2 linked regions of the Rhinolophus ferrumequinum genome follow. The protein of the gene in region 1 purifies or fractionates together with the protein of each later gene. This does not show direct contact. Links are inferred from orthologs where the notes say so. Each region holds a gene or a part of one and is shown on either strand. Other genes may lie near its edges. The genes, in order: MECP2 and KPNA3.

Region 1 (15,873 bases):
TAAAGGTATAAGTAAAACCACTAGAAGAACTAAAAGTAATCATATAAACAAAAGTTTGGAGGAGGAGAGGGCAGGGAAGGAGGGGAGGGGACAAGGAGGATAAGTCTGCTAATTCCCTAGTCTTTCAAAGTAGAGAGTCCATAGATGGGCCTGCCCCAGGCCTGTTTGTCCACAGATCCATCCCTCACCTTTCCCTCACCCTGCAGAGTAAGGCCTCACTACCGGCCTTTCCCAGGCTCCTGGCTCCTCTGGTTTCAGGGTGGGATTGACCATGAGAAGCGGGTGCAAGAGATTAGAGAGTGGAGGAGGGCAGCAGCCAGAGTATTGCCTCTCTCCCTCTGCCCCAGGAGCAGCAGCTGCAGTTCCCACTGAGGCCCTCCATGATTCTACGTCTTCTCCCCGCGTCCCTCCAGCCTGGGGGCGGCAGCAACTTCCTGCCCGTGATCCTCAAGCTGCCTCACTAACCCCCATCACACTCCCAGTGGTCCTAGGGGCCTCTTTCCTGGCATTCAGTGTTCTCGATGGAAGTGCTTTCTGTTTTCCTGGGAGGACCCTAATGGATAAAATAGCCATTTTGAGACCACAAGAAGGAACAGCCCATGCCGGCATCATGGCAGAGGCAGGTGATGAATGAACCACTCGCCAGACATTAAGCAGGAAAGAGTCCTCAAGAAATTTCAAAAAATAGAAGAGAAAATAATATAGAATGCATTCTTTTTTAAAAAAATTAGTTTCAGACATACACAACAATGTAATAGTTCGACATTTAGAACGGATTCTTGGAGTAGAATGTTAACACAAAAATGGAAAAGAAAAGAAAACAAAAGCCTACCTTTAAAATTTAGAACTCCCTTAAAAGAAAAGCCTTTGGTTAAAAAAAAGAAAAAAAAAGAAAAAAGAAAAAAATCCAAGAAAAAATTTCAGAATATCTGAAAAACAAGGATGATGCGAACAGAAAGTACCTACTAGTTGGAACACAGAGAAACCAGATAACTAATAAATCAATTCCGAAACTGGTTCTTTGAGAACCCAAAAATAAGACAAGAAGATAAAACATTAGCCAACCTAAGCAAGGGGAAGACAAAAAGAACACAAAGTTAAAACCCCAAACTGGGAAATAACATCAGACACTGACGAAGTCTCTAATCTCGCAAGACCTCACAGAGGTGGCCTTAAGCCCCCCGGGGTCATAAGCAACTTGCGATCCAGGCAACAGAAAAAGTACTAGTTACAGCAGGGGAATCCTTATGCACAGAGAAAATTCTCCTAGAGACCCCTGATGCCCGATTGAGCTACTGCCACCAATTCAGATGTCACCTTGAGACCCAACACAGTCCAGGAGGAGCAGAAGGGCTGCGGCTTCCCAGAAGCCCCTGGAGGATTTGCCTGAACTTCTCATTGGCCAGAACTAGGTCACCAAGCCACCACACTTCACCACAGCAGGATTTCTTCCTGAATCATACAAGAAAAGAGTGGGAGCCAGACTAGTATATCCAGGGCTCTACTGACAAGGCAGAAGGGGGATCTGCCCAGACTGTATCTGGGTTTCTTCGGGACTCTACTCAGTGATCATTTGTCCCTTTAGGCACCAAAGCTGCACTGTTTACATCAATGTCTTTTCAGAGTGTCTTTGGATAGCTGGTAAGACAAGTCTTCCCTTGAGTCAACATTTTTTTTGGCCCATCTTGTGCATTTACTCTGAAGAACCTTAGAATCATATCGTCAAGTTCCATGACACTCAGGGAGAAAATGGATATTATTTATTGGGCCCCTTCAAACCCCAATATGCTTTTGTTCCCCCTTCCTCCACTCTCTCACCTCTCCCTTAGTGATTCTATTTCCATCTTTACCACAATGGGATGTAAATGTTAACTCTGACAACGTGAAAGTAAAGTGTAGTTGACACCAAGTGATCAAGGATACGTTACTATTGAAAGTTAATGGAACAAGAGGTTTGAGTGTATTGTTTTAAATCACAAAGAACTAAATACAGCATCAATATCAAATATGGTGTGTCAGGGGTTCCCAAGACCACCCTCAGGAACACCCAGGCCTGCTAAGTTAACCCTTTACTACACAAAAGGGGAAGAGGGCTATGTCCTATCCTGTAACAAAAACCTATTCCTCCATGTTTTGTGCATGGGTTGACTCTAAACGTTGAAAACCAAAGACAAAAATTAACATTATGATGTTCCTGTAAATATTTTGTAATGCCAGATCAAGAAGAGGCATGCTAGGATTATATTTCCTTCTTATAAATCTAGTGTGATGATCTCTGGACCGTTTGAAAAGAGAATTTTCTTAACATCAAGGTCCAGTGGATTCTCTTTTCTTACACACTATCACTTGGTAAAATTATAATATATTTTACCTGGCTTCTTATTTTGATCATAACTTTCTTGTGAAGTACTTTCTCCCCCTTGCTATTTCTAATTCTTTTCCTTATTTTCTTGTACTAATTACCATCATATTCAGTTTTCTTTAGACTCCCAATCATACCATCTAATATGTTGAGTTCACATACACACACACTTAAAAAAAATAAATAAATTCTTGGAGTCCTTTCTCCCAGAGCCTGCCATTCTCTTAGTCCAATCTGGATTGATTGCCAATCAGCCCTTCTGCCCAGTTGGCATTCCTGTTATTTCCTGTCACTGCTCTCCTGGATTAGATCCACTGTGTTGTGGATCCCACATCTTCTTTTTTCTTGGCTTACACCTTTGTTTTGCTGGAGAACATCCTCAAGTAGCTTCCTAAGAAAGTATATCTGAGAGGTAAATTTTCTTAGTTCTTGCATATCTAAAAATGTTTTATTCCATTGTCACACTTGGTGGGTATTTTGGCTGGTGTAGAATCCTAAATTGAAAATCATTTTCTCTTGGAATTTTGAAAGCATTATCCTATTATTATTTTTTAATTGTTGTTCTATTATCTTTTATCATCCAGTGTTGTTATGAAGTCTGATACTGTTTATTTTTATTCCTATTCCTTTTTCTGGGTTTTACCTTTCAAAAATTCTTGTTAGTTGCTTTCTGGACTTCTTAGATCACTCTTCATAGTCCTAATATTTTCTCTCATACTTTTTGTCTGTATTGTTTTGTTTTGTTTTCTGGGAGACTTCTTTGGTTTTATCTTTCAATATTTCTATTGAAATTGGAATTTCAATACTCATTTAATTTCCACTAATTCTTTTTTTTTTTAAGATTTTATTGGGGAAGGGGAACAAGACTTTATTGGGGGAATAGTGTCTACTTCCAGGACTTTTTTCCAAGTCAAGTTGTTGTCCTTTCAATCTTAGTTGTGGAGGGTGCCGTTCAACTTCAAGTTGTTGTCTTTTCAGTCTTAGTTGTGGAGGGTGCAGCTCAGCTCCAGGTCCAGTTGCCGTTGCTAGTTGCAGGGGGCACAGCCCACCATCCCTTGCGGGACTCAAGGAATCAAACTGGCGACCTTGTGGTTGAGAGCCCACTGGCCCATGTGGGAATTGAACCAGCAGCCTTCAGAGTTAGGAGCACGGAGCTCCAACCGCCTGAGCCACGGGGCTAGCCCCTCCATTAACTCTTTCTTGTTTCCCACTCCTTTTACACAATATTCTGTTCTTGTCTTTTGGATGCAATATTTTCTGTCAGGTCTCTGAATAAGCTAATCAAATTAATTTTTTCCCCATATGTTCCCTGCATTTTCTGGGATTTCTCCAAGTTCATTTTCCCCCTATAGGTTACACTTGACTATTTTTAATGTTGCAGGCCTTATTCAAATTTATGATGATCCCTAGTGGTTGGTTAATATTTAATAAAGAAGGACTGGATAATTATTGTGGATTTATTCTGCTTTAGGGCAAATAGTTCCATTTTCCTGCTATGACTCTTTTGTGTAGGGTAGGGAGCTGAGGAACAGAGTTTATATCCCACAAATGCTGGAATGAGGAGAAAATTGTTCAGGGGTTACCAATACCCATGCTGGAAGCCCTAGCTCTCTACAGACATTTCATTCAATTTCATTAGAGAGCTGTCAGGTATTTTCGCTGCAGGTTTACACCGGTTGTCCCCTCAGCTGTCTGTTGAAGGAGAGGAGGTTCCAACTGGTGCAGTCATTCTGTATTGGGCCCTTCAATCAATCCCCAAGTGTTCAGTCCCATTTAATTCTATTGCCTTCCACCATATGCCTGCTGATTCGGAGCCTACTCTCTGGTGTTATATCTGATAAACTGGCTCCCACTTCCTCTGTAGTTCCCTTGTCAATTTTAGGCTGGATTTTTCCTGCCTGTTTTATCCATCAACTAATTCTCATCTGCTTTCCAAAATGAATGTTGAAATCTGTCCATCGAGGATAACTTCCTATCCTCACCACATTCTCTTCACTCTGATGGGTTTATTCCTTTCTGTTAATCAATACTTTTCTTGCGGTAAGTTTCTAAGGGTAAAGAAGGAAAACCGTGTTTGTATATCTGTGTATATGCGCACGCACATGAGTGCAAGCATGATGTATCAGAATCAATTCATTTCTCATCTATTTTCTAATAAATGTACTTAAGGTTATTAATTTTTCTAGATGACCATTTTGGCCACACAGCATAGGTTTTAATGTGTATGGCTCTCATTGTTGGTCACTGCTGAAGAGTTTATAATTTTAGTTTTTGTTTCCTCTTTAACCAAAGAGTTATTTTGAAGCCTGTTTTAAAAGTTCCAAATGGAGAGTGTTTTTTTGTTTTGTTTTGTTTTGTTTTGTTTTACTTTTGCCCATTCTCTTGTTCCTAAGTTTTAATTTTATTGTATTGTTGCCAGAGATTGAACTGCAGGATTTCTACATTTCGGAATTTACTGAGATTGTTTTTTTTTTTTTGAGGGGTCTAATGTATAAGCAACTTTAGGAAATGTCCCATAGTGTTTGAAACAAATTTGTAGTTTTTATTTACTTATTTTTTGTGATATCATCTGGGATGTTCTAAAATTTTGTGCAGTCTGTTTTACCCTTCTCATGAAAATATATATTTTCTATTAGCCGAAGGGATTTTTAGACAGATGGAGAAGTTTGAACTCTATCTTCCATATCGAAAAAATCCTTCTGGTTGTTGGTTTTCTGTCGTGGTTGCTATCTCTATGACGTTTTCCTGGTTTTTATCTTCTACAGTCCCATTTTTTAAATGGCCCATTTTTAATTCACTAGTAAATACTTTACACTCCAGTATATTTTTCTACTTTTCAATGGCGAGAGTGAAATTGTACCATTTAAGTCCTGTTTATTCAAACTAAGGGATTTAGCAAGACCCTAGACGCTCTCCATTGGTTTTTTTTCTTTCAAAAATGTCTTGACTTCTAGCCTTGTACACTTACTCTTCCCAACCTAGCATTAACTTGTTATAGTATATAAAAACTCCTGGATTTTGATTCAGGCAAAGAATTTCCAGATTAATTTGTGAAGAATTGACATCTTTATTGTGTTTTTTAATGTAGGTGTTTTGGCATTTCTTATGACGTTTGTTCCCAACTGCTTTATAATTTTTGTAGCTAGAGTAAGTTGAATGTTTTTCCCCCATTAAATTTCCCAGCTCTTGGCTGGATCTCTATGTCTGCATTCTAACAAGCAGGGAATCAACTTGGAATTAATTGGTCTTTCTCCTTGCTGTGAACTCCAAGGATGAAGTTTAAAAGAGAATGAAAGGAGAAGCACACGTGTTTTATTTTACACAAGTGATGTTGCCCTGTAGATCTTGTTCTGTTTCTTGCTTTGTTTCTACTTCACACCATTAAATACAATGTTTGTTCTAAGTTTTTTTTGATAGATACCTTTGATTAGATCAAGAAAGTTCCCTTCTATTCATAGTTCTCTAAGTTGTTGGGGTTTTTTTTTATCATAAGTGGCTGTTGAATTTTATCAAATGCTTTTTCTGCATCTATTGAAATAATCATATAATTTGTTCCCCTTAAATTAGTTAAAGTTGATTTTCTAATTTTAAACCATCCTTGCATTCTTAGGATAAAACTCAACTTGGTTATATTATTATATACCGCCAGATTCAGTTTATTTGTCTAGAAGTTTTACATCTATTTCCACATCCAGTATCATGCTGTTATTCGCTCGTTATAATAGTTATATTAGTTTCACAAGTTTGGAGAGATTTCTTCATTTTTTTTTCTGTTTATGATTGGAATTACCCACTCATTAAAGATTTGGTAGAACTCGTCTGTAAAACTCTCTGAGCTTGTTTTATTATTTTTTTTGGGGGGAGAGATTTTTAAAATACATAATCAATTCCTTTGTGGTTATCGAGGGTCTATCCAGGTTTTGTTTCTAGAGTCAATTTTGGTAAGCTGTGCTTTTCTAGGAATTTATTCATTTTGTTTATATTTTCCAATTTATCTACCATCTATTGTATAATCTATTCTATCTGTAGGCTGTGGCTCCTTTTCATTTTTATTATAAGGGGCTGGTCTCTTCTCTCCTTACATGTCACTTCTTAGAGGGTTGGCTTTTGTTTTTCAGCTTGTCGAAGAATCAGCTTTTGATGTACTCAATCTATCACTTGTTTCTGCTTCATCAATTTCTGCTCATTGTTATTTTTCTTCTATTTTCTCCATTTTTACTATGTTGTTCCTTTTATAGCTTCTTGAGTTAAATATTCAGCTTGTTGACTTGTTGACTGCTTGTTGACCCAAGAGCCTGCTCAACAGCTCCACTTGCACGTCTAATAGGCACTCTAAGCTTAACATGGCCAAAACAGAATTCTTGATCTGTACCTATAAAAACGTGCGTTTTCTACAGGGGAGCCCAATCGTGGTGAAAGGCACCCATTTACTCAGTTGCTCAGGACAAAAACTCAGGAATCATACTTGTTTCTTCTGTCTTTATACCCTACAGCCAATCCTTTCTGCCTGATTTTGAAAACATGGCTTGAATCTCACAACTTTTCAGAACCTCCACTGCTACCATCCTAGTTAAATCCACTCTTACCTCTCCTAGATTGTTGTCAGGAGCTCCTGACTGGGCTCTTGCTCCTAGTTTTGTCCCAGCATGGATAGTTCTCCACACTGCACCTACAACATAGATTTGATGGTGTCAACTCCCAGTTCAAAATTCTCCAAGGGCTTCTCAGCTCAGAATAAGCTCCCATTTCCCATAGTGACTCCATCCCTCTCTAGCCACATAAGCTTCTTTGTTAGTCCCTAACACGCTGGGCATAGTCTCTCCTCAGGGCCTTTTTACTTTTCTGAAATGTTCTCTCCCCAGATATCTACATGGGGGAATAAAATGAAGGCAAAAGCCTGTGGATATCTAAATAGCACCTATTCACCCTTGTTTTATCTACCTCAAAGCCTTTATCACTATGTTACATTATGTTACATAGTTATTTGTATGTTTAGTATGAATATTTCACATAAGAATGTTAGTTTGCTGTCTTATTCAGTTCTGTGCTTCCAGAGCCTGGAACAGTGCCTGGCATATAGCAGCTGTTTAGTAAATGAATGGCGGTGGGGGGGGGAGCCAAATCAGAATTAGAAGATTCCTTGTTAATCACAGGACTTGTACAAGGAGCATTTGATGAATTGGAGGATGGCTGGAATCAGAGTAAGTTCGCCTTGTCAAGCAGTCTTATCTTGAACACCCCACTGACTAAAACTTTTCTTATACTCTTATTTTTTCAAAACAGAATTGCTGGCTCTTAGCTCCCAAGTCACCTCTTCTAGGAAATCTTCCCTTTCCCCTCCAGGTAGAGCTTAGTGCTGCTTCCTCTGTGCTTCCACTGCCTTCTTCACACCTCCACCAAACCATCTGATCCAACAATGACGGGTCTCATGCAGCCTTGTCATGTCCCCTTTTCCCCCACCACAGTTTCACGAAGGCCAGAGCTGTGATTTGTTGTCAGTTTATTCCCTGCCCCTATGAGAGTCTGGCTCGTGGCAGGCTCAGATGAAAGAATGCAATGGATAGGCCTCTTAAACCAAGGTCTTTCAGCTGGAACGTCAGGCTCCAGGGCAGGCAACTTTGTTGCTTCTACTGAAGGTGGTGACAATAAGAAAATGCAGGTGCAGTGAAACACTTATTGCAGCTTACTTGGTGTGTTTGCGGACAGCGCATCAACCGCCCAGGAGGGCCGCGCGCAAACAGGAGTGCGAAGGCTAGGCCTTCACTTGCCCCAGCATCCGCAAGGGCCCATTAATCCTTAATATTCAAATTCCTCCCACTAAACCAGCCCCTCAGTGCCCAAGCCGCCTCTTTTTCCCAAATGACGGCCAACGGCAGCCAATCGGCAGCTGGGCAGGGGGTCCGCCCCCTTTTCCCTGGCCAGAATGGACACAAACTATCGCCAATTGGTGGCTCCGCCGCGGAGGACCCGCCCCGCCCCGATCGCCGCACCCAATGGCAGACGGGCTCGCGGCAGCGCCGGGGGCGGGACGCGGGCGCGCAGGTGCAGCTGCGCGCAGTCCGGCCGGGAGGGCGGGGCGCGACGTCGACCGTGCGGAGTCCCGGCGTCGGCGGCGCGCGCGCTCCCTCCTCTCGGAGAGAGGGCTGTGGTAAAAGCCGTCCGGAAAATGGCCGCCGCCGCCGCTGCCGCGCCAAGCGGAGGAGGAGGAGGAGGCGAGGAGGAGAGACTGTGAGTGGGGCCACCGCGGCCGCGGGCGGGGACCCTTGCCGAGGGGCGGGGGGTAGGGGCGGGACGTGGCGCGGGAGGGGCCCGCGGGGTCGGACGACACGGCTGGCGGATGGCGTCCCTCCTCTTTACCCTCCCCCTCCCGCCGCCGCCGGTGACGGCTCCCCCCTCGGCCCGTCACCCGCACTTGCGGGTGACCGTCCTCGCCCCGGCCTCCCCGGGCCACCTTCGCCTGGCGCCCCGCTCTCTCCCGCCTTCAGCGCGCATCCCGGCCCCCGGCCCCACGGGCGCCGCTGTCGCTGGGGCTTCGCTTGTCTGGGCTGCGCGCGCGTCGTGCCCTTCTCGGGGCTTCGGGCCCGCGGCGCCGTCGCGCGCCCGCGGCCCCAGCCTCTCCCTGGATCGCGCTCTCCCCTCTCCCTCCCTCGCGCGCCCCCTCTCCCGTTACTCGGCCCCCCCCACCGGCGCGCGTGCGCAGTCCGCCTCCCGTCGGGAGAGTGCGCCACAAGGGCTCCTGCGCTCTCACCCCCCATCTTCAGGCTCTGCCTCCCCCTCCTTCTCGCCCATTCCGTGACTTTCTGCCCCCATTGCGAGCGAGTCGGTCCACCATCTCCTTTCCCATCCAGCAGGAACAAGTAGGTGGGAATTTATTGTCCACCCACAAAAGGGACTAGACATTGTGTTCCTGGTCCCACAACTCATCCGAAAGAGGCTGTTCTAGTTCCCATCGGGAGCCGTGGATAGGGGACTGTTTGTCCGGCAGCACCTGAGGCTCTTCAGTGGGAGTGCGCCTCCAGGGTCTTTGGGGTTGCGGTGGCCTCAGAAATATGAGCGTCCTCCCATCCTCCCCCCTCCGCCGGCGATCTTCCAGTTACATAAGTGGAGTGGGACACCGTATGTAACGGGCTCCCGTAGTCCTGGACGCGTCCTGCTCTAGATCACCAGTACCATATGGGGCAAGTTCATCGCATCGCTGTGGTTCCTGTCAATTGTCTCTGAAAGTTTATTTTCTTTTTAGTTTGGTTATGCCTGACTCGCCCACACTGAAACTCAGGTGACTTTTACATGGTGTGGCAATGTGTCTGTGGTTTTGCGCTGAAAACTTAAGGTCATTGTGAAGAGTCTAAAAAGAGTGCTCTCACAGAGGAGAGACCCTTTGCGATATTGCTAAGTATGGCTCGGAGAGGGGGAAGCTTGCTCTGGAATACCTCTGTGGCAGTCGTTTCTGTTGTGTGTTCCGTGTGGATTGGTCACAGCAGAAATGGGCTCAACCACAAAATTGATATTCCTGACTCATGGTCAGGCAGATGTGTGCTTCTGGTTATTTTTCCAGGAACAGGAATGGGCTCTGTGGAGCCATTCACATGTTGTGTCTGCTGTGTGGGATCAGTACCCCAAGTTGTGAGACGGTAGGATCAAATTCAGGGGGTGGTTGGTGATCCTGGAACCATCCCTACCGGCGTGCGCTGATGCTAAGTGGCTTAGACTTCCGGCGTGTGATGATGCGAAGTAGTTTAGACTTGGTAGGACTCTCCCAAGTTACAGGCATTTGGTCATGCTAGAAAAACGAAGCGTAGTCAGGCCTTGGTAGTAAAATTCATTGTTAATGGCAGTTAGTACTCTAGAGGAGAAATTTGGGTTTCATGGCTGGAATTTTCATCTGGATCTCAGTAATTGCAGTTAACAGTGAGATTGAGCCTGGCCTCTTGAGTCTCTTGAAATATGCTAGATCCTTATTGAAAATACAGGGTCTGGATTTTTTTAGGTCTTCTGGGAATTTCCCCCAGGGATTTCGGGGAAATGGGCTTATTTGTGGGCTTTTTAGGACTTGCACTTCAAATCCCAGTGGGGAAGCCTAGAAAACACTTTTATTTCCTTACCCACACATGTCAGAACTTTAAAGGGCACAATCAATCTAGTAGAAGTACAGTTGATTAAGTAAGTCGCCACAGAGCACCCATTCGTACATGTCAGCTAAGTGGCCTGTCACTGAGGTACATCCCGTCCAGAACACAGACACGCAAGCCTCACTTGACAAAGATTCCAAGGTTTGTACATCTGAACCTGAGATGTCACTGGACAAGGGCTTTGCTTTGTTTTGCCGTCGTTGGCAATGTGTTTGCCTCTTCAGATGCCCTCCAGCCAGCTGTTTGTCATACCCCTAGCCCTTTAAACAGCACAGGTAGCTTCCAGAATATAGTTTATCTGCGAAGTTCCTGGTGGTGTGTGAAGTAAGCATGTCCTAACAGCTTGAAGAGACCTTCTATGGCTTTCTTGCTCATATTGGCCTATCATGCTGTTCTATTTCTTACTGTTACAAATTTGCCTGGAATGCTTTAAACCGAGTACCAGGTCTTTGTTTCACCTGGCAAAGCATGATGCCGTCAAACCGTACTCCCAACTTTTGGGCTGTTTGTGTACTGGGGGGTGGGGTGGGGGTTAGAATACAGTTTTGCATTCTATTTGTAATTTCCAGTCAGAGCCATTGTTTCCCTGCCTGCCCTGCCGCTGAGTGGCCGGATCTAGTGGGGTACGGAGGCGAGCTGTGGAGTTGGACAGCACAGCTGGCTAGATGAGTCCCATATGATGTTGCCCCCCACCCAAATACTCCTTCCCCCACGTGGAGATCAAATGAGAAACTCTCTTCTTTAACTTACAATAAAGAAGAGCAGCGTTAAAATTGTTGGTTCCCGTCTCAGGCCCGTTTTCGCTGCTAAGGTACCTGCCTGGGACTGTTTGCATGATAAATGATGTGTCTTGCAACCAGTCATCTTTTCTAACAACGAATATCAGAAGAAATCTTTTAATTGGCTCAGAGCAGTTTGTTGGAAGGCTGCCTGAGAGTCCGTGAGAGAATAACAGAAAATGTTTGACATTTGTAGTAACTAGTGTTTTAAACGCACGGGGGGTAAAAGAACAGCCCTAGACTGGCGCCGAGTTGCAGGGAGTGTGGCAGGACACCTGCTTGTTTCCACTGCCCTCTGTTATGGTGACATGCGTGCAGACCAGCCTCCTGTGGCCAACAGACACAACCGTTTTTCTTGGGTAGAGTATTACTGTCACTCCAACGGAAGGACCTTGTCCTCAGTGCTTCTGTAACAGCCCTCTCTGGGCAAACTGCCATTGTCACCACTGTGCTTCTCCCTTGTTTTGGTTAGGACACACGTACATGGGTTCCTCTTCCTTGGACTCACACAAAGGTTGCGCTCTTCTGCCTTTATGTACCCTCTTCTGCCTTTCTCTTGCAAGGAACCTTTGAACTTATTGAAAACTTGATTTGCATGCTATTGCTTAAATACTTGGTTCTACCACTTTGATGGTAGATAGGTGTGTAGGGGATCTGAATGGAAATGGGAATTTGGGGGCAGGCAGGGCACCCCCACTCCTATACCAGGAGAAGGCGGTGGCCATTCCATTAGAGGCCTTGGCCTTTACAGCTTTTTCAAGGCACACCTGTGTTGGGTCTGCTGGCATATGGATGTGTCCTCACTGTAGCTGTTTTGCTGTTACTGCAGAAGTCTGGACTCGGGAGCAAGCCTGAGGAAGTGGTCACTTCTCTTCCTTGCCTAAGAACCGGGGCTGTTATATATATGGACCTGCAAATCACTACTTTATTGGGTTTTCACCTAACTGCTCTCTTTCGCTGGCTCTTTTACTTCTCCATAAACTCCTTGAGTTAATCAGAGATCTTAAACTTTCAGAGTTGGAAGGAACCTTAGTCCAGCTCCGTCAGTTTACAAGTGAAAAACAACTGTGGCTATGAAAAGCTGTGGCTTTTCCAGGGCCTCCCAGCCAGGAGACCAGTATGATTTTTATTATATATTAAGTTGGTGCAAAAGTAATTGTGGTTTAAAAGGTTAAGAATAGTTGCAAAAACTGCAGTTACTTTTGCACCCACCTAATGGCTAACTGAGTAACACTGTTACCTTGACTTTGGGATTTCAAAGCATTCTGTGACTCGACTGTTTAAGAGAATTATAAGGCCTCACTGCACCTCAGTAGATAATTCTAGGAACTATCCTGCTCGTTATAGACCAGCTGTAAGTAAAAGACTTGGTTGGTGTTGCCCTTCCTCTGAGTTTGATTACACAAGTAATTATTTGTGTGAATATTCTCTAAGTTGTACACGCTAGGCTTTTTTTAGTCTAAAGATAAAAGTGCTCCTCTTGGGCCAGCGAGGTATTAGAGATTAGCTTATATAGGCCAGTTTAGGTTTTAACAAGGAAATAGTGGTTATCTTGATGATGAAAAATGTAATGACAAAAGTCCTTTTTGAATATGTACTCAAAAGCAAAAGAGAAACTGTCAGATTAATAACTCAGTCTGTTGAACTTGGCGACTTGCTGATCTGAGAAGCTTAAAAGTGATTGCTCTGAGACAGACTTTTGGAGGATGGCTTTGGATCTCCCGGGGCACTTGGTGTCCACTGGTGCTGCTTCTTTCTCTCAGGGTTAAAGCCCCTTTCCACGATGTTACAGCGGCTCGTTGCAGCTTCAGCTGCTTGATAAAGAAGGGAGACTTTGCCTCTGGATTTCACATGTTCTTTTTGGGATGACATTTTAATGCTGCATGTTCTCTTGAACATGTATTCTCTCCCCGAGTATTTCTGTATGACGTGGTAGAAGAAATACTTATCCGAGATCACCACTAACGGTACGCTTTATAGTGTCACAGAGTCCGTCAGAGGAGGCAAGACCTGTCATAGTGTCGATTCTAACATGCATGAATCTTTCCTTTATTTTAGCACTGTGTGTTATGTGCCAGTAATTTGCAGTTTATCCTTTGTTTCTAGCTAGGTAAGCCGGGAAATAGCATAGTACTTTGTCTATATGTTTATCTTCAAAATGTCCCAAATAGCCCTGGGAAAAAGGTCGTGCAGCACAATGGGGGCTTTCAACTTACGATTTTCTTTGTTTTAGGCTCCATAAAAATACAGACTCACCAGTTCCTGCTTTGATGTGACATGTGACTCCCCAGAATACATCTTGCTTCTGTAGACCAGCTCCAACAGGATTCCATGGTAGCTGGAATGTTAGGGCTCAGGTAAGTAACCTTCCTTTTTTTTTTTTTAGTATATGTCCTGGTTTGGCCATCTGTTTTTAAAAAAAAAAAAAAAAAAAAAGGAAAAAAAAACAAGATATACTACTCTTGGACAGTATAAAAGTACCCCAAAGACTAAAGACATAACTGTGCCAAACTGTGCCATATAATAAAAAAAAGTCACTTCCCTGAGCCCTGAAAGGTCAGTTTGGGTAGGGTTACTTGGTAGCCGCAGCGTGATCTGGGGGCGGGCGTCAGATTAGAGCCGGAACTGGTGATCTGCAACTTCAGTTCACCTTGAAGCAGGTCAGCTGAGCTGAGAGTGCTTTGACTGAGCTCTTCACCTGCCGCTGCTGCTGTGGCCCAGTGGTCTTCAGCGGAGCGCTTTGTTTGCTTTCGTTTTGGGTAAATAACTTCCTGGTCACCGTTAGTGAGCAGTGGTACCACGCACTTTCAGATCCGGGGACCGGTGTGTGGTCCCCTAGAACGATGGCCTCCTGAAAGCTGTCACAGAACAGTGGAGCCCATGGCTAATGGCATGTGCTTGCTGCACTCCTCCCACGGGCACTACAGAGAGCAGCACCCAGACGCACGTCTGGCTCTTGAGACTCTTAGAGCAGAATGAATGCCTTTTGAAACGCTGGGGATCCAAGCCATTCGAGGTCTGACACTCAGGTGCTTTATTGGCCGCACTTTTGGCTACTTTGGTGCCATTGTGTGGATTTTAATTTTGTAAAATGAGTGGTTCTTTCATTTCTCAACTGTCAGGCTCAATATCTCAAGCTTTTAAAAACAATCAGTGGTCACTCCACATTTGTTGTTTTGACACCTGGATTTTCAACCATTCCATGTGTTAAGGCAGAACATTCTCATTGAATTTTTCCATTTCTTTTCCTGAGGAAAAAATGTGAGCTTACCCATATGCTGCCATTGCGATTCCAGCTGAGACTCCCAAGTAACACTTTGTTGTGTCTCTCTAGTGGTTTCTGACACCTCAGTCTAAAGCTGTGTGGACATAACAGATAACTGACTTAGGGACTCCGTGAGGGGCAGGGTTCGGGGGGAGGAGAAGAGAAGGTGTGGACGGAAGGGAGGAGCATTGCACTGCCTCCAAGTCCCAAATTTGGTTTCACTCGTGATCCTGTGACTCAAATTGTCATTCCCTTTTGCCGCGGGATGTACCCTGGGCCCTGCTGACAGGACGTTCTTTGTATGCCAAGTATTTATGCTGGTGGGAGTTGTGTGGCTGGCGCTTTGTGCATTGTCTCAGAAATTGTGTGGACTACATGTAATATGGACAGTGAATGGGTTTCTTCTGGTAGATAGTAGGCCTGGGGGGTGGTTAAGGTTTTTAATAGTCTTTTTCTAAGATCACGAATGGATTTTATAAAACAGGCCATGATGACTCTATACAATTTCTTCTAAGAAATACAGAAGAGATGTTTTTTAAAATACCTCTTATTATTTATGAATGGGAACGACATGGCCATTTGAGCTTCAAGGAACTTGGAAGGAAATTCTCAAAGGACAGAACCTGTCTTTAGTAGATAAGTGCTTGTATCTTCTTATTTTTCTTCTTTTCCTTTTAAAGAAATTATAAAAATAATACATGCTTTTGTGGAAAATTCAAACCTTTTTAAAGTATATCAAGTAAAAAAGTGAAAGCTCCCTGTTACTCTCTGCGCCCACTACCCAGAGTAACCACTGTTAGTTCATAGCTTAACCTAAAGCCTTCCGAATCTTCTTCTCAGGCTATACAAACATGCACCTTTTGTATTTTTAACAAAACAAGGATAGTATTATACGTATTCAGCATCTATCCGTACGGTACATTTCTGTATGCCTCATTTCTGTTAAATACCAGCGTGGTCTGGTGCCGACTTTCTGTCATGCATTGTCCCCCTATTGATTTTCCCAGTGGTTCGCTATTAAAGAGACTACTGGATTGAACATCCTCATGTGCCTGCCAGTCTTTCGGAAGAATGGCTGCCCAGACTTGGAGTTGCTGGTGGGTACCACCATGTTGTCTTCCAAAATTGCTGTCCCAGTTCCCACGGTAGTCTGAGAAAGTGCCACTTCCCCACACCCTCCCAGAATTGGATAGCCATCTTTTAAATGTGTGCTCCTTGGGTTATCACTGAGGCTAACCCTCAGCATAAATATGTGGTGTACAGCCCTCGGTCATTGGCCATTTGTATTCAGTCTTTGCAAATTTTCTCTTCATGTTCTGTATTCATTCTTCCATCAGG
Region 2 (15,642 bases), on another chromosome or scaffold:
TTTTAGTTAAAATTAAAATTGAATAACCACATGTGGCTAGTGGCTGCACAGCTGTTGGACATCACATTGTGTGGTCTCTAAAGACTCAAGCCACTATGATCTCATGTGTAGAATATCTGCATATATCAAAGAGAAAATATGAAGAAGCAGCTGGAGAAAAAAAAAACATTTTATCCAAATCAAACTTAATTTAAATTGCAGAATTTAAAGGAAGATAGACCTCAAAGTTAAGAGGCTCATAAAATTTAGGCATGAAAAACTTCTTTTGGAAAAATTCTATTGTATATTTTACTTAGGGATTATTAATACATTGGCAATGTTGATTATAAGAGACATAGCAATTTGAAAAAAGGAAAAACAAATTGTGCCAAACAGTATCCTTACTACAAGATTCAGTTCTCTAGGCATTTTCAAATAGGGAATCGCAAATCCCTCAAGTAGCAGGGGAAGAGGAGTACGTTTACAATCAAACTAATTAACCAATTTTTTTGATGTCTACTTTCAGATGTCTGGTTATCTTGTTTTCCATGAATGCCTTTAGAGTTGAATATTTACAAGCTGGAATCTTTAATGCTTCATATTAATAAACAGACTACGTCTACTACAAACAGTGATATGCAAACGATACACAGATGCCTACTTAATAGAACTCTAGATGATAGGCCCTTTTTTGTCTGACCTCTGATTTAGTGGTTTGTCTGGCTAGGTCATCGCCCAGCCCTGCTGACTTGACTGCAAAATCTCCTTTCAGTAGAGATTAGCTTTCCACACTTGTTTAATTCTTCCTTTCTTGGTAGGCTATTTTCCTTTCTAGGCTTTTTCTTCTTTTTTTTACAGTTGAATATAGCTTCACCTCCTGTGGAAACTTTTGTTTACACTAGATCGAGAGGCTGTTTCCATGTGCCGTGGGCCAGAATGGGGCACCTGGTAGGTCCTGCAGGATATGGGTAAACTGCAGATCCTGAAGACGCCCCAGCTCCAGGCTGTAGAATTACTCCTGCCCAATCTCTGTGCATCTACCCTGAGCAAAACAAATTACAAACAGGGGACCAACTTTCCTGGAATCAGATTTTCTGGACCCTGTCTCCTCTTGAACATGCAAAAGTTAATTAATGTTTTTTTGCCTCACACTCTTCATCTATTAAATGGGGATAAAAATAGATTCTACCTGATAATATTGTGAGAATTAAATGAAGTAATCAAAGTAAGAATTCAGCATAGCTCCTGGAACATGTGCACATGCAACAGTTATTTATTATTATTGTTATTATTATTTTTATTATTATTTTATAACCATAATCCCTGTCCTCACCATAATTTTTTTTATGCCATGAAGAAATGTGCTCCTCAGTTTTACTATACCATTTTAATGGATTCCCCCCCAACTGGTCAGTTTAATGTTTCTTCTCTATATGAGTTTGAGTTTAGGTATTTATTCATCTATCCAACATACATTGCGGCTCCTCTAGGTACCAAGTACCACTGTAGACACAGCGATACAATGGTGAGTCAGACACAAATACTTGCCTCTGGATGCTCATGGTTATTGGAGAAGATGACACGGAAACAGATACCAAGTATGGTATTCATTCAAAGAAGTCACTTCCCATTAAGTCTAGTTTTCTCAAAATAACTTCCAGCAGGGATCAGCTGCAATTGGATGCCAAAGGGCTGTGTTTTGTTTTCTGGTGTTGGGAGGAGCTGACGGATGTTAATAATAGGTTAGATACACCAGACATTCCATCCACTGGAGTTCACATGGCGTAATAAGGTTGTTTAGACCTTAATGTGAATAAAGTATTTCTTCTCTGAGATGAATAACTCTGAGAGAGTGAAACTTTGGTTAGGGAGTGATTTGGTGGCCTCATGCCTTTGAGAGAGGGCAGACCTGGCGTGTCGTGCATAGTGGGATTCTCTGGAAAATCTGAAGGGCCGTGAGGGACTGGACACTCAGCTTTTAGTCGCTCTGGCAGTTATGATTATTACCATCTTTGGATTTCTAATTTGTGAAATAGAGAGAGCTAGGAAAAGGGATGCTGCTGGGCTGGCTAGACAATTTCAGAGATTCGTAGAATTACCTCTGAGGAAGGAGACACAGAGATCACCCAGTCCAACCTGCTCATTCTCTAGGTGAGGCACTTGTGACTTAGAAGGCAAAATAACCTGTTCAAGGACACATCGCTTGTTACTAAAGAACCAGCAAGTCACTAAACTTCCAAGACAGTGCTCATCTTTAGGATACCATATAGTTCAATATCTAGAATATTGTAAAGTTATAACTAAGGTCCAGGATCATGACCTTGAGACATAGCAATGTACTCTAAGTATATTCTGAATTATTGAATTATGCTTTTTATAACTAAAGTATTCTTACTACAATTTTAATATTGTTCATTTTATTATATTCTGATTATTTGAGAATGATATTGGAAGTATAATGTGTGTGTCCTAGGCTAGGTCAGCCCATTACTACAAAATGAAGTCACCTTATCTGTATTACTAATAAGTGTTCAACGGCCAGACACTGGCCCTCCTCTAGCTGTCCCCAGTTATTTCTGAGAGTTTATCAGGTTCTTCCTCTCTGACTTTTCATCTTACTGCCACAATGCTGTGTCTACTGCTACTGACTGTCATAGGTCATGAGATGGTTGCTCTGCTGGGCACAACTATTTACATGGCTGATGCTCCCTGGAGAGGGGACAGCCCTTGGGGAGGAGAATTTGCTTTCCTAGAACCCCTAAGGGCTGTATTAGTTCTTTGGGGAAGCTGGAGATCTTCACCACCACTGTCTAAGACATTGGCCACACTAGAAACCACTTGTCTTTCTTTGGACTTGTTGCTCCCATTGCTCCTGTTGGCATCACAGAACCTTCCAGGCCTTCAAACCAGAGCCTCAAGCCCCACCTGTCCCAGAGAGAGATGGAGATGACCATCCCAACCAGGCAGCGTTCCCTGGAGAATTAGAGATAATGTATGTAAACATCTGGCACATAGTAGGTATTCAGTAAATGAAAACTCTTATTATTTAGATTTATTTATCACCCAAGTTTTTAGGAGCACTGCTAGGTAGTTGGGTTGATGAACTTGAATGCCATTTTCTTCAATTTTTTGTGCTTGCCTTTTGCTTCAGATGCTCTTAGACAGTCATGAATAGCCAAAACGTGATCATGAGGGAAGGAAGCAGTTCATTCAGAAAACATATGTTGGATCCAGTTATTCAAGGCTGGGGAATACAAATGTGTACAAGCCATTTCAAGGGTTTGTAGGTGAGTGAGAGATAAAAGACTGTACATAAATTGCAGGAATACAAAACAGTAGGTAAGTTCTTCTGAGGTTCAGAAGAAAAAGATATCCTGGTTGGAAAGATACAACTAATATTAATATAGTAATTTCAAAGCACTTTTACATGCATTTTAAAACTTGATTTTCACAATAACCCAGCGATTCAAATTTCTCATTTGTAGATACGACGACAATTCAGGGAATGACTTGCCTGGGCTTGCTATGGTAGGAAGTCAGCCGTAGGGTCTGAGTGTTCAGATTCTGTAGGTCCCTCCACTGTACCGTGCTGGGAAAGCTTCACGGAGAAGGTGACCTCATGGCCTGAGTATTTAAAGAGGGACCGATTTTGACAGGAAGATAGGGCCAGGGCTTTCTAGGTAAATCAAACGGGAAAGCTATGAAGGCTGGAAAGGTTAGGACATATTTGGGAAAGGTGATAGACCACGTAAGATAAAGCACAAGCTATGTGTGGGGGAATCAGAAATAAGAAGAGTGTATTGCACTGTGGCTGGGTCACACATAATCTTAACTATCAGACCGAGGATTTAGAAATGATTTGACAGACAATGGTGGAGGGGAAGAGATATATTGAATATGAGGAGAAGAGATAAAATCAGGAAGATCTGGAGAGGTGAATCAGATTTTTGTGGAGAGGATAGAGGAAGCAAGGGAATCGGTTAGGAGGCATTAACTAGACTTGTGAGGGGCATGGGAAGAAAGCTGGATTCTGGGAGCGTTGAATGGCGAATTAATATGGAGACTAGGTGAGGGAGTTGAGAGAGAGGGCGGCAGTAAAGATGGCTCCAAGCTTGAGTGGAGTCCCTGGAAGAATGGTTAGGCTATTAACTGAGTTGGTGAATTTGCAGAAGGAGCTGACTGGGGAGGAAAATCATGAGCTCCTTTTGGCATCTGTTGATTTTGTTGCCTTCTCTGCATACTGCCACTTGCCTGTCCGCTGGGAAGGTGGGTTTAGTGAGTCAGAGGAAGAAGAGTTTGACCACTCAGAGGGCCCTTCCTTTCTGTTTCTGCTCTGCTCAGCACTCCCCTGTCCCTTAATAGAAGTGCCTAATGAATACAATGCTTAGCATGTGATGGACACTCAAAATATGTTTGGGAGAGGAGGTCCAAGATGGTGGATTAGAAAAATTATATATATATATATATATATATATATATATATATATATATATATATATATATGTATATATATGGAAAACTCCATTTAGAACAGTTGTCAGAAGTTTTAGGGCAAAGGTGAAGACTAGAGTGAGGGAAAAGGGATGGTTGCTAACAATGAGAAGCCCAAACCTGAGTCACTGGAGGTGTCATTTCTCAGACATTAAGGCCTCCAAAGCCTGGTGGGAGCTACAAGTGGTAGAAATTTGGTGGAGTTAAGAATATGGGGAGACTCTGAGGCCAAAGTAGCAGATGTGTGTATGTTGAAGTCACTAGGGAAAATGGCAAAGAGTAAAAGTTATTGCATTAGACCCAGGCAAGAGGGGCCCCTGATCTTGACCCTACCCTTTAGAGGACTTCACTCTGGCTCTCTCCTGATGTACCCCACCCCGTGGGGAGTTCATGGGGCCACCAGGTCACATTCACTAGAACCTGTGCCTCAAGGCCCAGCTCTGGGTACCGGGGCCCTGGGATTCCTGCTCAAATGGTCAAGCCTGCTTTCAGGATCTTCCCAGACCGCTTTCTCGAGTCCATCTTCCTGGGGGCTCATGAGGCTACCGCTTTGCACACTCCAGGCCTGAGCAATGGCCAAGGGGCATCTCTTGAGGCAGAGAGGGGGATGGAAATAGAGCTTTGGTAGCGAGAGGCAGGACATGAACCTTGTGGGTAAGGGTATACATATATGTTCTTAAGGTCTATTCCAGTGTGGGATGGAGCCAGGAGACGGAAGGGGAACAAAAAAGTGGGCTGGGAGGTGGCTTCCAGGCCTCTTTGTACCACCACACCCTGAAGCAGAAGTCCAAGAAGTCAGGAAATTTAAATTCAAACCCAGACATCCAGGTTGTAAAGAACATTCATTTGTCAATGTCAAAAAAAAAATTAGACTTTGTAAGCTTGACCTGTAACTTCTAAATACTTAAATATGTGATACAAGTATATAGACATCCATTTGCAGTCTTATCCTCCTATGTTAGGAGTCACAGGAATCATCATGTTACAAAGATCTCCTTGCTATGAGTCTTGAGCTTCCTTCCTGTTTCTTGACACTCACCACACTTTTGGGGTGAGAACTCGTTTTATTGCCTGTCTACTCTGATAGACACAAAGCTATGCAGAGGCAGGAACCAGGCTGTCTTGTTTACAAATATATCCTGGTGTGAGGGCAATGACTGACATCTGGTAAGTGCTCACTAAATATGTCTAAAACTCTAAAATGATGAAACACTTACACACTGGATAACAGCAAATAGGATGAAGAGAAGTGGTAGAGGGGGTAAAATAACCTGAAAAAAGAATGCCTTGATAAGTTATAATAGAGATTGAACAACAGTCTGGAAGTTTTTCTCTCCCGTTTGGGAAGAGCTTCAAACACACAACTTTAATTGCCTTAAGAACTATAGTTGAAGTAATGCTAATCCATTTATTCTAAGCTTTAGGTGTGTGTGTGTGTATTCTCCCCTTTAAACGAGCGGTTGGACTGGGATCAGATATTTCATAGTGAGGGCCTGGAGTTCTCAAGTGACTTATTCAGTGAAATGCAGAAAAGAAATGTGAATCGACATTTAAAAATGAAAAAAAATAACTCAGCTTTGGTTTTCCTTGAAAAATTGGAGCTTGGCAAGACTGGCCCACAGTCCGACATGGCAACAGTGGTCTGAAGCCTTTAAATGGGACTGTGTCTATCAACAGGCCACGCTCCACCACTCATAAAACAAATGTCCCAAAGTTCAGCCACCAAATGACTCTGAATTCATGACCCCTGGACCTCTGGCTCTTTAAGGCCCCTTTGCTTTGAAAGAATGTCTTCTTTAACCTCTTTATGGTTATGTTTCTACCAATCTTTGAATAACCCCAGTGTCAATTGAATTATATTATAACCATCGAAATACCTGCTTCTCTCTGCTAGAGATTCTGAAACTGAATTCTTTCACATATAACCAAAGAAGCTCACCTGCTCCAGAAAGCAACTCTCTATTAGTAGTATGGATCCAAATTTCCCTTGACCGGCCCTCCTATGACACTAAACAGAGAAGCCAGATGGGAGTCTGCCGACCAGGGCTTGACTGCTTCCTGAAAGCTAAGACTACGTGTGGTGGCAGAACAAGAGGTGTTGGGGGCACTGAAATGCAGGAGCTGCCAGAGTGAAAGTTGGAGAACCGGGCTTGAAGGATGATGAAGAAACCGATAGGCGCTAGAACACTAATTTGTTCAAAGTATTTATTGAGTATGCACGAGCCAAGCACTGTTTCGACGCGAGGGATTCAGCAATAAACCAGCCAATGCCCCTGCTTCTCACTGAACTCAATTCCCGTGCGGATGCCAGGTAACACACACATACAAAACATATATACATACATGTGTACATGTCAGGTGGAAATAAAAGCTATTTATAAAACCAAAGCAGGGCAAAAGACCAGCCATTGAGGGTGGATGCTATTTCAGGAGACTCCAGAGAAGCCCCGCCCCCTCTCTCCCAATAGGGCACAAGATGCCCAATCTCCGGGGAAGCTCCTCCCACTTCCCCCGCCCAAAGGCGGTCTTTGGGGCGGAGCTTTGCGGCCCGGGCTCTCCGGGCGCGCCGCGCGGAAAGCCGCGCGCTTAGGATTCCCGGCCTTCAGGTTCTGTCAAGGCCAGGAGCATTAGACCGCCGGAGCCTGGCATGTTGGGAACTGTAGTTTGCGTCCACAGCTCGGGGTTTGGGGCGGGGCAGTAAAAGCCGCCAAGTCTGGCTCCATTGCTGGCACAAGACTTGTAGCACTGAGGGGTTGTGGGGAGGCCTTGCTGTGGGGGGCGGGGGGTCATCCCGAAAACCCCTGGCACTTACAGCAGGGCGAGCGTCCAGGCCCGGGGCGACCCTGGGCACGTGACCCCAGCCAACCCGGGAGCGCGCGGTTCTTCAGCGCGGTTCCCGCCCCGCCCGGCAGTCGGCCAGCGCCTCCCCCGGCGCTGCTGCCACCTCGCGCTCGGAGGCGTCACGGAACGTGCTCTCCTCTCCCCCTCCCCCTCCCTTCCCCCTCCCGCGCTCCCCCTCCTCCCCCTCCCGCACCGAGACTCGCCGCCGCCGCCGCAGCCGCAGGAGTAGCCGCCGCTGGAGCCGCGCGCAACCATGGCCGAGAACCCCGGCTTGGAGAACCACCGCATCAAGAGCTTTAAGAACAAGGGGCCGCGATGTGGAAGTGAGTGTGCTTCCGCGGTCTGGGCCCGCCCGGCTCGCCCGTCTGGCCGCGCCGGCCCCGCGGTGGCGGGAAGGGGCGGGGGGCCGGCGCCGGGCTGGCTCTCGCCGGCTCGCGGTGGGTCGGAGTTGGCCGCCGCCTCCCATCAGCGCGGCCCAGGGCTGGGCGGAGCGGGCGACGGATACGCGGGCCGGCTGTAGCCACCCTCCGAAGCTGCCGGCGCGGGGGACCGGGAAATGCCGGGGTTTTCGGCCCCGTCACGCGGGCGCGGCCTGCTGTCTGTGAGGAAGGGATGTGGAGCTGAGGCGGGGTCCGCGGCTAGGGCCTCGCGGGCCGGGGATGCTGCCGCCCAGGTCTGTCGATCGCGCCGCCGAAGGGGCGGCCGCAGCTAGCACCGGTTGCCGGTGAAACCTCCGCCGGCGCAGCCTCCTTGGTGCCTCCCGCGCTGCCGCACATGGAGCCTGTCTCTGCCGGTCTCCGCGCCTACTTTCTGCCAGCCGGGCCCAGGCGGGCGGTGGCGGCCCGCAGAGGGGGGTGGGGACCAGCCGGGTGACTGACTTGTTTGAGGGTGGTGGATGGGGGAGGGTAGGATGCGCCAGGACCGTTTTCTTATATTCCAGTGCTGTCCTTTGGACCAGTCGTGCTGAGCTGTTCCAGCCCACACTCCTGTTACTGCGGGCATTTGGAAGCAAGCTGAAGGTGGACAATAGTTTACCATCTATTGTGTTGAGGCTTTGGAAGCGACGTTGTTCCGACCTCCGCTCACCGGACCTGTTTTCTTAGCATTTCTTACTTGTAGTGGGGGTGTGCACTGGATAATTTCCTTGACATGTTTTACTGAAATAAATTGGATACATAGGTTCATACGGCCGTGTAAATATCTCTTGCTCCAAGCTGGTAGAATTTCCATGTGGTTGCAAAACTGTAAACATTAATGTGGTCACTCAGTTCGTTGCTACACAGCATGTTGCCATTGTCTCATTAAGGTGACATTAGCAGGTACTATTTGCAAACTCGGCTTATTGAGGCAGCGCTAGAGGTCTCTCTGCAGCCACTAAAAGCAACGTAGTATAATGCACAAACTTCACTGGGACTCTGACCTCTGAATTTGTTAAGGGAAAAGTGGTTTTAAGTCCACAAGCTCCTTTTCGAATACCAGGTGACATGGTTTGCAGTTTTGTAGTTCTTGTTAAAGGGACAGTGTGAATAAGAAGTGTACATTTTATCCTCTTAAAGAGAAGTGTTGGGGAAAATTTACCATCCAGCGTTCTGTTTTGTAGAAAAACAAAAAAAAACTCAGGCCATTTTTCCAGAGCTACACAATTAATACTAAATGGAAAAACCTAAGGAAATACTGTGGAATTCCCATTTGAATGAGACAACTAGAGGTCATCTGTCTTCTGGTCATGGTTAAGTGTTTGTGTGTGTGTGTGTGAAAAATACTTCTAAGCAAAAGTGAAATTTAGGAATAGCAACAAGAAATTTTGGAACTGCCTCCAATTATTAGTCCACGTGATGATAGCAGTTAATTTTGAACTTTTGCTATCAGTAATTGTTCTTGAAGCTTTCCCCTATTATAAAGCAGAACTTATGTAGTCTGACAAATACCCATATTGTTTGTACAAAAGAACTAATAACATTCTTCCCTCTCTTGGATATTAGTACAGGTTTTTGTCTTATTATTTGCCTCTATTGTGTTCTGGGATCTCAGTGATACCTAGTAAGGACTCCTGCACGTAATAGGTGTATAATAAATATTTGCTGATGACCAGAATGTAACCAATGACTTCTACAGGCATGATTGCTAAACCTTTTAGCCTGAAAATGTTGGTCACAACAACATTACATTTCCCAGCATATATTGGAGTAACTAAGGCATGAAATAGCAGACATTCAAATGGTAGTTCTATGTGATAGACACTACTGAGAGCTTCATGATACCTCATTTAATCCTAATAACAATTTTATGAGCTAGGTATAGCATTATACCCACTTTATAGGAGGAAAGTACTTTAGATGGGCAAACTCAAGCATGCCTGTGTAGCCTGCACAAGGTCCCAGAGTGGGTATGAACATTCATTCACTAATTGTCTATTGGGTATCTAATACAGTCAGGTCTTGGGGATACAAAAGGGAATAAATTTCAGTCTGTACCTCAAGGAGTTTATAGTTCAGTAAAAGTGATAGAAAAGTAAACTGATAATTACAATACAGTACATCACTAAGTATATTCTGAGAATGCGTAAGAAGATCCTAACTTGGTGTTGAGCAGTCAAGGGAGAAGTTCTGGTTGATTCCTAGTGGATGAATGGGAGTGAGTAGATCCTGAAGGATGAAAGACAGTTGGCCAGAGAAAGGGAGAGGGCGAGGAAGAGGCATTCCAGACTTGAGGGAGCAGTAATTGAGACCAGGAGAACGCAGTAGGACTGCTGATAGAGAAGGGAGTGCTAGAGATGTGACTGAAGGGTGAACTGCGGTTGAAGCTGATCAAGTTCCTTTACTGTGGGTTTAGGTATAGCTAAGACTAGATACCACACCTAATTTAGTCTTACCCATTAGAAACTAGACTACATTAGAAACTTACACTACAATGTAGCTCTGTGACTAAGTAGTTCTGATTATTAGGCTGTTTCCAAACAGTGAGGTATACTTTGCTGAGGTACCGTTTTTACCTTTCACATATAGGATAGACAAAGGTTGCTATGTGCTGCTTACATATAATAAATAACATTTTCTAAAAAAAAAAATATATAGAGTTAAGTCGGAGAATTGTGAGTGGGGAGAGGGTTGAGAAAGTAATTTCATATTCAGTCGGGAATGGCTTCATAGAAGAGAGGTTGGTGAATTTTACAGGAAATATGTACCAAACTTGAACGGCACATGAGAGATTAGTGAATAAAGATCCAGGTGAAAAAGAAGAGAGATTAGGTTAAGGAGTGAAGAGATGAGACTTCAGATGGCCCGTGGTAGTCTGAGAATATGACTGTAGCAAAGAGTTGCTTGGAAACTTCTTGATCGGGAGAGCTGTAGGAATTTATTTCAGAGGAGAGTTAGAAGGTGTAACATGATTAGAGCAATGGAAAAAGGTAGTGGCAATAATAAATGTAGAATTAATTCTGGAGCCATTGGAGCTGTTATCCTGTATGCAATGAGGAATTTTCCAAAAAACTGAGACTGGGGATAGTCATGGTCATAACTTGGAATGAGGATTTGCATCTCCTCCTCTTCCTTTCTCGTCCTCTTCTGTGTGAAGCTCACAGGAGACAAAGGGGATAAAGGCTGTCCTGAGGGTGACGGATAGAGGTAGGGGAGGGAGTCATTAGCACTGATAGCAGTTTGGAGCTTGGGGAAGAGAAGTGGATTTTGTAGCTAAAACTAGGGGACACATCGTGAAAATAATTTTATTTTCATGTAAGGCATTGGTTCTTAAGCTTTTTTCCTTTTAAAAAACATTTAAAACTTCAAATTATTTATAGAAAAGTACACAAAGCAGAAATGTTCCATTTAATGAATACTTACAACTCAAACATTCAGGTAACTGCCATCCAGGTCAGCTTTTCTTTTTCTTGCACCTGTATACCTCAAGGATGTGACATTTTCATCAGTAACAGTAACTATAATTATTATTTTAAAAATCTTAACACTTAGTGAGTGTTTACAGTGTACCTCAAGTGCTTTATATGTATTACTTATTCAGTCCTCACAATAATCCTATGAAGTAGGTACTATTATTATCCGCATGTACTGCTGAAGAAACTTGAGGCCTACAATTCTGAAGTACCTGGCCCTAAGTCACAGGGGAGTTAAGTGTCAGAGCCTAGACTTACAGTGAAGGAGCATGACACTAAAGCCAGAACTGCTCCCTGTGCTGTACTGTCTCCACTGAGTGGAGCCTAAGACGACCTGTATGAAGCACATCTGCAAGTTAATTAATGGGGAAAATATTTAAGAAGTCTTGACTACATCACAGAAAACCCTGTTTTGGTATTTTAAAACCTTGCTTATAAAAATTTTTGACATCCTATTTATCATTTGATTTATTGCCTTTTTTTTTCTTCTTTTTATTCTTACAAACTTTCCTTATTAGTAAGGAGAGCCAGTTAGTTGGTTTCAATGAAAAATAGTAACCCATACTCTTGGGCTTAATGCTTAAACTTTATGCTTTCGTCTCTAATAGTAGGTATTTTTATATATTTTCTCATTTGCAAATTCAGCTAGCACTACCAAACTTTCTTCTCTCTGGAACCTCTGTTGGTAAGTGGTACTATCAAATGATTCAAGCTTAAAACTTTGTCCTTGACTCCCTCCTTTCCCCCGTCACTTTTCTGTATTAGGCATCTGAAGAGCCATCATATTTTCACCTCTGTCACCAACCTGACTACCACTGCCCTAGTGTAGACCCCTGTCATTGTCACCCATGGAAGCGTGATAGTGTGTCCGGTTTTCCTATCTGGTATCGTCCTACCCCAGTGTATCTCGTGGATTGATCTTCCTGAAATCTTTTCGTGTAACATTCCTGGTAAGATCATTCCCATTGCCTTCAGGATAAAATTAAAAGTTCTTAGCATGCCGCACATAATTCCACAAAAGGCCCTACCTTTTCTGTCTCACCAACCACCCTTCCTTACGTCTCCTTTGTGCCAGCCATGGTAAAGTACTTGAGATGGTGAAGTAACCAACACGGTTTCCCCTCCATGATGGTACATGCTGTTCTCCTATATACTGTCTTTTGCTATCGGTTTAGTGGGGCTCACTCTCTCAAACCCTCTCTCAATTCAGAGTCCTTTGTGTATCTCTGGAACACCAAGATTACAATTCTGCCACATCATGTCATTCAAAAACACCCTTCAGAAGCTCTCCATAGGGCCTTTCTTGGTTGACTAATAACATACTTAGTTCTATCAGTTCCTTTTCTTTTCCTTCTGTATTTATTGCTGTCCTAAGTAAATTTCCCTTTGTCTTGGGATCAGTTGCTGTGACGTGCCACAAATTCTATGTGTGAATAGCTGTTAAAGTATATTGGCTCTGAAGAATCTCACTGAGGGTTTGGACATTCGGTCATTTAGTGACCGATACATAAAATTGAATACTCTTTGAGAAGTGAGACTAGAGAATATACTTGAAAGCACTCTGCATTTGGGAGCGAAAGTACCATATTGTTTCTTTCCGTGTTGACTCCAAGGCATTGATACTGTTGCCTAGCCCTCCTGTGACAATCTCTTTTTGCTATAATGTATTTCTGTAACGTGAACTAATTCATAATTGACTGGTAAAGAGGAATCATTTTAGTTAATGCAAAATTCATGTTCATGTTTGATTCTTACCAGCATGTTAACTGTTTCGCACTCCCAAGTAACAGCATTTGAAGGCAGACACAGTTGAAGTATTGAAACACAGTTGAACACAGCAAGCCCAGCAGTGTGTGCGTTGCCCATTCACCCGTATTCTGCCTCTCGGCCTCGTCCAACCGCACGTTCTGTCATAAAGGTGCTTATGGCGCCAACTGTCTTGATGTATTTCCCTCTTTCTTCCTGAAAATTTTCAGGAATCTATATGTCATATGGCAGATATACTGTAATGATCTTTTCTTGAATTCATTAACAGTATATATAATCTTTCCGGGTCCTGCTAGCTCATTGATTACTCTTTTTTTAGTTGGCTTTGCCAACTCTTTTTCCTACCCATTGAGTGTGGGCGTATCTCGGGATTCTGTCCGTGACTCCTATAGACTGTTCCTCTTGCCCACATCAGCAGCCCCCTTAGTTTTAACTGGGGGGTTCAGTGGAGTGGGGCGGGCGGTTTAAATCTGTTTTAATCATCTGCTAGAAATTTTTCCCATGAGCAGCACATCAAGTGTTTAAATTTATGCTCAGAGTGTTTAAAGCTATGTTCTGCCTTTATTTTTTCTTTCTTTCTGTTTATGGCATCATCATTTTAACTGTGACCTGAACTTGCAACTTGAGAGGCTTCTTGGACTTCTTCCTCATCTTCCACATTCAGTCGGATGCCAGTCATGTAGCTTAAGTCTCTGTGCTGTCTCTGCCCTGCCTCTATTCCTCTGCCTCCAGCCTACTTTCGGCCTTGTTACTTATCACCTGGCAGTTTGAAAGTTGCCTCCAAAGTGGTGTTCTTCCTTCAATTTATGAGATTTTTTTTTTTCAGTGAGCCTGATACCTGATTATATTTCTCCAGGGTAACCCCACCTCCCACCTGCCCTAGCCCCTTTAAACTCGAGCGACGCTGAACTTCTTATATGCTTATACATAATCTGGACTCCTGCCCTCCTCTGCTTGCCAATGCTATTTCTATTCTCAGGGCTATCCTGCTGACTGGAATAGCCTTCCCTGCCTCTGCTTGCCGGGCTGACTTCCTAACCCTCTTAAATACTCAACTCTGGGTGTAGATCGGAGAAATCTTTCTGAATCCCCTCCTCCTCCCAGGTTGAGTTAGGTACCGTCTTCATTCCTGGAAGAACTCTGAGTATATTTTTCTCATTGTAGTTACAACACATTTTAATTACGTTTTATCTCTCTCCTACTAGTTTGTGTGCTTTTTGAGGGCAAAAACAATGTATCTCCATTGCTTACTTCTTGGTACAGTGGATGGAATAAAGTAAGCACTAAAATATTTCTTGAAGGAATACATCCTACTGGGTACCATCAGCACAATAATTTTTCTAAAGTGTATTTTTGAACTGACACTTTCAATCTTTTAATGCCTTTTCCTATTGTTCCCCAAATCAAGTCCAAACTTTTCATTGTGATAAAGTATTGGGAGATTAAGACACATGCATAGTGAAACAATTAAATTTTTCCTTTAATCATAAAAATATTCTAATGTAGAAAAAGTAGAGAATAGTATATTAATCCCAGATGCATATCATTTAGGTTTAATAAGTAACAATTTGCTGTATTTGCTTCTTTTGTTTATCTATACATAGCAGACATGACATTTTACTCCTGAAGACTTAAGTCTACTTTTCTAAAAAATAAGAATGCATTATTGCATAAATACCACATCACCCTGACACAATAATTTCCTAATATCATCTAATCCAGTCTACATTTAAATTTCTCCAGTTGTCCCTTAATTTTTTAATTTTTTTTTTTTTTATGTTTGGTTTTAGAAGCATGATTAAACAAGATCAGATCATATTTGGTTGTGTTTCTTAAGTCTCCTTTAATTTAGAATAGGCTCCTCCAATCATTCTTTTTTGTGTGTGGTAAAATATATAACATTTATCATTTTAAATGTATGGTTCTGTGGTATTAAGTACATTCACTTTATTGTATAACCATTGTCACTAGCTATCTCCAGAACTTTTTCATCTTCCCCAACTGAAACTCTTGTCTCTATTAAACAACTGCATTCTTCCTAGCCCCTGGTAACTTACCTTCAATACTTTCTGTCTTTATGAATTTAAGTACTATAGGAACCTCATATAAGTAGAATCATATAATATTTGTCCTTTGTGACTGGCTTATTTCTCTTACCATAATGTCTTCAAGGTTCATCCATGTTGTATCATGTGTCAAAATTTTTTCCCTCTTAATGGCTTATTCCATTGTATGTATATACCACATTTTGTTTATCCATTCATCCTTTGATGGATACTTGGATTGCTTCCACCTTTGGGCTATTACCCCCTACCATTTTTTAAATGCTATTAATTTGTAGAAGAAATGGGGTTAGTTTTCTTATATCAAGTTGAACCATATGAAATTGTCATTTTTGAGGTTCAAAACAGCCAAATATCTCATATGCCTCGACCTAATAAAATGTACTAATTACTGGATTTGTCTGTTTCTTTGTGGTATGTCTTAACTTGTTCCTCCTATTTCTTACTATCCTACAGATTTTCTGTAAACTGAATGTTAGTTTTAAGGGTTTTATTATCTTCAGTTTAAGCATTTATTATTTTAAAAATAATACTTCAATTGGTGATGTTGTGTACTTCAGAATATATCCCAATAGTGGTGCTAAGATTGATCAGAAAATTCAGATGATAAAG

The links.
Region 2: the proteins of MECP2 (region 1) and KPNA3 purify together in Homo sapiens (affinity purification with mass spectrometry; 3 studies listed by BioGRID and IntAct, counting the BioPlex papers as one, with this or other methods). This does not show direct contact. The link is inferred for Rhinolophus ferrumequinum from reciprocal best matches to the Homo sapiens genes MECP2 and KPNA3.

What each region holds. Positions count from the first base shown.
Region 1 is NC_046284.1:6,361,255-6,377,127, forward strand, and holds the start of MECP2 (methyl-CpG-binding protein 2), read left to right. Parts: upstream 1-8,433; 5' UTR 8,434-8,528; coding exon 8,529-8,590; intron 8,591-13,503; exon of another isoform or gene 13,504-13,601; coding exon of another isoform or gene 13,602-13,627; intron 13,628-15,873. UniProt on the Homo sapiens protein: Chromosomal protein that binds to methylated DNA. It can bind specifically to a single methyl-CpG pair. It is not influenced by sequences flanking the methyl-CpGs.
Region 2 is NC_046287.1:87,816,372-87,832,013, forward strand, and holds the start of KPNA3 (importin subunit alpha-4), read left to right. Parts: upstream 1-7,549; 5' UTR 7,550-7,564; coding exon 7,565-7,620; exon of another isoform or gene 7,621-7,634; intron 7,635-15,642. UniProt on the Homo sapiens protein: Functions in nuclear protein import as an adapter protein for nuclear receptor KPNB1. Binds specifically and directly to substrates containing either a simple or bipartite NLS motif.